Schizosaccharomyces pombe: one gene and its partner. Changing the gene in region 2 together with the main gene of any one other region gives a genetic interaction. Each region holds a gene or a part of one and is shown on either strand. Other genes may lie near its edges.

What was found. A genetic interaction does not mean that the proteins touch.
Region 1: mutations in nup124 (region 2) and cwf15 together harm fitness more than expected from each alone (negative genetic interaction), as found in Schizosaccharomyces pombe (one large-scale study listed by BioGRID).

Annotation. Positions count from the first base shown.
Region 1 is NC_003423.3:1,040,328-1,043,603, forward strand, and holds cwf15 (protein Cwf15), read right to left. Parts: upstream 1,703-3,276; 5' UTR 1,647-1,702; coding exon 1,632-1,646; exon of another isoform or gene 1,573-1,631; coding exon 790-1,572; 3' UTR 661-789; downstream 1-660. Other genes in the region: chaperonin-containing T-complex theta subunit Cct8, read right to left, coding at 36-75, 129-251; ecm14 (carboxypeptidase), read right to left, coding at 1,968-2,066, 2,107-2,354, 2,396-2,524, 2,574-2,679, 2,721-3,276. UniProt on the Schizosaccharomyces pombe protein: Involved in pre-mRNA splicing.
Region 2 is NC_003424.3:1,110,366-1,114,125, reverse strand, and holds the start of nup124 (nucleoporin Nup124), read right to left. Parts: upstream 1,952-3,760; 5' UTR 1,913-1,951; coding exon 1,662-1,912; intron 1,619-1,661; coding exon 1-1,618. Other genes in the region: AP-3 adaptor complex subunit Aps3, read left to right, coding at 3,008-3,274, 3,317-3,370. UniProt on the Schizosaccharomyces pombe protein: Nucleoporins may be involved in both binding and translocation of the proteins during nucleocytoplasmic transport. In S.pombe it is required for the nuclear localization of retrotransposon tf1.

The sequences.
Region 1 (3,276 bases), on a different chromosome or scaffold from region 2:
AATAAGAAATGAAATAACTGTTTGAGTCAACATACCAATTTTATTTTTTCCATTTGGACCCAAAGAGGTACGGGTCTAAAAGTATCAGTAAATGAATGAAACTTGCTTAATAAATTATAGGTCCTTACGATTTCTGAAAGTTCACGAATAGCATTACAATTACGGATTACTGCATCCTCTACGCCCTGCATAATCCGATATCCTTCGCGAAACAGTTGAGGCCCAGAGGCCTTTGGAACTCGCAAAGCCATTTTGTTTACGAAAGCCTTTATGTCTTGGTAAAAGTCAAGTGGTGATTAGCCAGTACAGTAGTAAAACTATATTTCGGTATTGAGCAACCATCCTTGCATTATGTTAAATAAATTAGTGATTTCAAAAGTAAAAGCAAACGACTTCAAAAGTATATATATAGTATTTCTCAAATGTTTCCTTCGTACAAAAAGTTATAGTAGTTGTCTTTTTTAAAAATGATAAAATATTTACATTAAATTATAGTAAACTTTTCAGTAACCCCTTCCGTTAACGCAGATTTGGTGAGAGAATAAATAAGATATGCATCACTCAAATAAAGGCTTTGCAATTATAAATTTTGTAAACTTAATATACCAACAATTGTAACTACTAAACTCAGTACAGCCAGTATTAAAACAAAAAAAGAAGCAAGTTATCAATTAAACATTATCATCTCATTTATAAGTAACATTCTTAAAAATTGCCTTGTATGATAGCAGTAGAATGAAGAAATTTTGTTTTGTGGAAAGAAAAGAAGACAGCAAACCCACAGGTGATTTAATCAACAAATCTTGCCAAGAACTTCTTGTGAAACTCGCTTCTCAACATATCATTAACAAATCCAGGCCGAGGTGTGTCATCAACCCCTTTATGTGTATTCCTAAAAACAACGTCTTCGTCCCATCGACGCTTAACTTGAAAAGACCCTGAAGAAGCTTTATTCAAAAGCTCATTTCCAAAAGCTATTTCCCGTTCCCTTTTTTCTTGCTCCAGTGCTCTGTTTTTCTCTTCCTGAAGCATTTGCTCTCGTTTTCTTTCTTGTTTTATATTTTCCAACTCTCGAAGTAGCTGTTGTGTCTCATCTTCTGAATCGGACTCTTCGTCCGAACTTTCTGAATTTGATGAGTCAACGGATTCTTGAGAATTTGATTCTGTTTTTCTTCTTTTAATTGATACCTCAGAATTTTTATTTGAACTATCCACACTGTCGTCGCTATCGCTAGCATCCTCGTCCGCCTCCAAAGTCTGCCGTAACAGCTCTTGATAATCAACCTCAACATCGTTATTGGGTTTATCGTCCGTTGAAGGGGAAGTGAAACCTTCTATGAGTTTTGAATTCTGGCTTACTTCTTCAGAAGAGGCACCATGTTCTTGAGTTGCAAAATGTGCAGCCTCTGCACGTAACAATGCCTCTCGTAAATCCTGTTTTCTGACCTCTTCCTCAGTTCCTTGAGATTCTTGTCTATATTTTAGTTTTAAATGAGCTGGTAATGCGCGACTAGACGTTATCCTAGTAGGGGCCATTTCTGAATGCCCCCTAGCTGGATCAAATTGGGGTCTCTAAACATGAGTTAGTTTTAAATTATAAAATAGAGGATATATATGTAAATTGAGCATACATGTGCAGTCGTCATATTGAAAAAATATGCAATTCACAACTGTTATTATTGAGACTATGTTGGTGGAGTGCAAATACGATTACACCAAAAAATCTTAATATTTACTCTTGCAAAGTAATCATGATTCACTACTTTAGTAAGTATTCACTCTTAAATTCTTATAACGTTCTAAAAAACGTTAATTGATAGAACTGGATTTATTGTTAAGACAGGTAAATAACGCATCAATTGAACCACCTGGAAGGAAGGTATTTATTTTCATAAATTAATAATTACTATAATTAAATTTGGCAAAATTGCCAACAGATAAGCGAATAATTATTGATCTTTCTTGGACTAAAATGCATACTCAGCGATAAACTCTCCATAGTAAAGAATCATCGCAAAAAATTCCTTAGCTGTGGGGACAATCTGTTTAGCAGGTAATAAATATCCCTTGTTTAATTAGTAAAAAATTTTAGAGATATCAACTTACATAATCACCCATGTCTCGTAATCGAATATTGAAAGGCCATGCTACATCAGCAGCAAAATAAACCCAGTCAATGGCAGTTCCAGGTAGGTAATGTTTATGAAATCCATCATACGGTATACATGCTTGTTGATATGTGTAGTATCTACTATTTACGCGATGCAACTCTTTAACTAAGCCAATTGCTAATTCCTCAAAATTCTCAGTATCAGGAGGAAACAAGTCGCAGGTATATGCATAAGGCCACAAAACTAACTTAATTAGTAAATGAAAATAGACTGTCGAAACATACCAGATTGTGAATACGAATGCACATCAAGAAATCCAACGACCTTTTTCTGCTCTTGCGACAAGGATTCAGTTATCAGATTGAACAAGGCCATAGTTTCGTTAGCCTGAAAAGGTGATAATCCTCCATATTCTTGAGTTTGTTAGTTGTAATAAGTCATCAAAAAAAATAGTTCGCTTACCGTTGCTGCAAGGATCAATATTACCGTTGAAGCCAAATGCCCAATTCGCATCGAGATTTATGCCAAAACACTCGGAATTATTAAGAGGCTGTCTGTTTTTTGACCACTGACAAATAATTAGTATATGCTTCATTACAAACCACTTACCAGTCTATCGTTTGACCATGTATATTCATAACCATCAACGTTTAAAACTGGAATAAAAATCCATTCAAATTTATCCAAAAGCTTTCGGACATGACCATCGGAATCATATTTTGCCAACAATTGCCATGCGGCATAGCAAACAGATGGAATACCTATCCACTCACGAGCATGAGATCCTCCTTGAATAATAATCACTTTCTTGTTACGAATCTTTTCCCCGTTGTCGGAAGGATGTCGACCGTTCAATTTTAGGCCTAAAATCGTTCGACCTTCCGCTGTAATTCCAACTGGAACTAGTTCACTTAAATCTTTGTAAAGGGACGCCATCAACCTCAACCAGGAATTAATCGATTCTAAATTCTGATATGACTTGAAAAAAATATCCGTAAAGGAAGTAAACATTTCGTGATTTAAATGACCATTTTCAACGGCTTGAAGGAAAGCTTCTGTGGAAAAAGGGGAATTCGTAGTATCTGGAACAATGCTTTCAAATAAGGTCTCTGTCAGATTGTTTATAAGTATGTCACTACGATATTGACTCTTCCAAAAATCAAAA
Region 2 (3,760 bases):
GCTTGTTGGCTTTCCAAAACTACTTCCAAAATTAAATTGTAGCGTAGGTTTTGTTGTGTCTTGTGTACTAGAAGCATTGTTTAAAGAGAAATTGAACGTAGGAGCTTTCGTTTCTTCCTTCTCTTCAAGGGTTTTAGGTGCGAATCCTCCAAAGCTGAAACCAGAAGTTGAAGCAGGAGCAGACGGAGCGTTGTCCTTCTTTTCTGTTTCTTCTCGTTTTGGACTTAATTGAGAAAAAAATGAAGGCTTGTTCTCAGTTATACTTGGCGTCTCTTGAGTCTTTGACGGTAATTGTGCAAAGAACGTTGGCTTGGGCTCATTCTCCTTCAAACGATTAGTTTGCACATCAGCAGTAGCAGTTGGCTTAAACTCAAATTTGGGTACATTTAATTTTTTGTCCGTGGTAGCTTCAGTCTTCGGTTCAAACTTAAATTCGGGTACTGAAAAGTGAGAAGATTTGATTTCCTTAGAAGGTGATGGCGGTTCAACTTCGGACTTTCTAGTTGTAGATTCTTTTGTCGGCGATGAGGAAAATTGGCTTTTGGGCGCTTCTGTATCCTTTGACAATGGCTGATGTTCAAAGGTTTTATTATCCTCAGCGTTCGCGAGAGTAAGTGCCGTATCATTCGGAGAAGTCTTTACAGGCTTAGGGGTAATAGAGGCTTGAAGCTCTTCAAAGGTAGGGGCGGACTTCGTCAATAAACCCTTGTCACTTGTATTATCCTTGGGAGATGCTATTATAGGTTCTAATATACGCTCAGATTTTGGATTTTGTTTGGGTAATGCGGTGTAATGAACGTCATCTTCGCAAGCAAAGATTTCATCCAAATCCTCATCAACTGCAGAAAAAGCCTTAATATGACCTTTCTCGAGAGTCTGACGCTTACGCGAAGTGGGTGTACTTAACCGGTGATAAATATCTTGCTTATCAATAAACATTGTATTACCGGGGTTGGAATCTGTCTGAACTTCTGCATTGACTAATACAGGCTTCCTTAAATCCATCTGTTCAAGAGTTTCATAAATGATAGGGATAAGCCGCTGGTGTCTACGACGTCGCCGAGAGGAGCGGTGAGGAACGTGATTTTTTGCTGAGACCTCTGTTTCGCCATTCTCCTTATCTCTAATGTCGGTAAGACTCTTATGGGAATCATTTCCAGAAAAGCTTTTGTTCTGCTTAGCTGAGGGCTCGTTTTCAGAGGCACGAGCAACAGATTTCTTTTTGGAAAGCATAGGACTGGGACTTCTAGAAGGCTTGCGCTTCTCACAAGTAGGATTAGCTTCGGTAATACGATCTTGTTTTACACTTGATATATTTAAGGTATTTTTCTGCTCATCGTGAAGTGACCGAAGGATATTGAGCAATGAAGCAGAGGATTTGGGAGTTGCAATTTGATGTTGAGAAGTGCTGCCCAACTTTTTGGATAAAGCAGAAGAAGGATGAAGCGAATTAAGTGATTTTAACGACAACTCGTCATGGCGTTTAAAAAGCGTTGGGGAATTAGTATAATCTTGCTTTTGCTTTGGCTTCCTAGGTTCAAATGTATTCGTATGAACTTTTTCCTCTATTCCATCAATTGTTCTAACATGGCTCCGATTACTAACGCGAATAATTCTTCTATTTAATGTTAATATGTTTCACGACAAAAATGTCAACTTACGGAGATTTTCCTAAATAATGAGGTGTTAACTCTGGAGTAAGCAGGCTTTTTGTACCTGCTCTTCCACTCTTTCTATCCTTGCTAGCCGTTCCTGAAGCTTTCTCGTCTAGACCACTGGTGAATGGGTGCAAAACAGATGAAAATGCCCGTTTCAAGACCGTAAAAAAGGGCCTTGAGCTCCCCTGAGGTGGGTCATAGGGTTTCTTAACAGTCTTTGATGAAGTGCGAGTATTTTTTGAAACAGGAGGCATCAATACAAACTCATCGACAACTACTAGAAGACGTTGGTTAATGAGAAGTAGCGAGTTTAGTTACGTGGCAATTATTTTTCATGCTAATGACTTATTGATTGTCTGGTAGCGCTATTTGTTATATGCCAATATCGTAGTCGTAGGAACTGTACGACTATTGTAACACGTTTCGTAAAAATGTTTAATACGAGAAGAAAGGGAGTTATTTGAAGGTGTTAAGCAAGATGGAATATGTTAATACAATTTGTTTTCGGTTTAAAAAAATGGGATATCAAATTCTATTTAATCTCGTTACCAGTAAAGTGGTGATTGCAACAGTAGTCCACGAGCCTTAGCTTCGTCAATATTCGCTTTATCAAGTTTTAGGCTGTCTAATATTCTAGCAACTTACTTGCAATACTTAAATTCTTCCGTTTAAATCAGCTTACATTGTATGAAGAAATGATTAGTTCTATTTTCATAGAAAAACACTTAGGCACGTACTGTCTAATCGTACGTAATTGGAATTTCGCTTTACTATCATCTATAGTAGTGTTGATTAAAACAAGTGCCTCCCATATAGCAAGGCAGCGTTCATTGCTAATCATATTATGCAAATATTCACTTAATTAGTATATTAATCAAAAAAAAGCTACCAATATATACCTATAGTAACTGAATAGTGGGATCACCTCATATAACTATTAGTATGTGTCTACTTATTACTGAGATGTCACATACTATGTAGCTATTTGAATATTTCATAACCATCAATTCAAAAATTGGTGGAAGACAAATGTTTTTTCCTATTTTTCTATTCCTAAATTGTATACAAAGTAGTTCGTTATAGAGATCATTGAAGGCATGGCAAAAATTGTTTACTAGACATTATGAATTTCAGTAACAGATCTTTGGTTCAATAGTGGATAAATAATATACTCAATAAATATAAAACCATGAAAATCTTAAATATAGCAAATTAACTAAGGCATTGAAAGAAATTTGTCGATCCTGGTTCTTCCAAACTACTATTAACGTATATTCAACTTAAACTTCAGCTTGCCGTTTACCAAGCACTGCATATTTGGGTTCTGCCAGCTTTCCCTTTCTATTGTCATGATTTACGCTGTTTTTATATTTAACAATAAAGGGAAACCTCGTCTCACAAAGTTTTACACTCCAATTGATGAATCCATTCAACAAAAGTTAATAGGAGATATATATGCAGCTGTATCCACTAGGCCCCCAACCGCTTGTAATTTTTTGGAAAGTAATTTAATTGCAGGTAAAAATAGAATAATTTATCGCCAGTACGCTACTCTCTACTTCGTTTTTGTAGTAGATGAAGGTGAAAGTGAACTAGGAATTCTCGATCTCATTCAAGTAAGTTGAAATTAGTTACTTTCCAATTTCTAACTATTAAAGGTATTTGTTGAAGCATTAGATCGATGCTTTAATAATGTTTGCGAGCTTGATTTGGTAAGTACATTTCACTACTCGTTTATCTTCCCATTATCCTACTGCTATATGTTTGAAACCATTGATTCCGTTTTTTTTTATTTAATTTGTTTTTTTCTTATTTGGTTTCGAATGTTTGGAAATTTGGCCTTACAAGAAACATTAATGTTTGTCCAATATTCGATTATCAAAAGAGCATAACATTTATTTTTATCATTTATTGAACTTAGGAACTACAAGAGTTTAATTCCTAATTCCTTTACTTCTCATCGCCTTCAAGAAAGAAATTATGCATAGAACTGGAAGTAGAGTCTCATTGTCGATGATTCGCAATCTCCAATGAAAAAAAAGAGGAGGTGTTAGTAATAATTATCCAAATACAAGTGTATACGCCAAAAAAAAAGGATATTG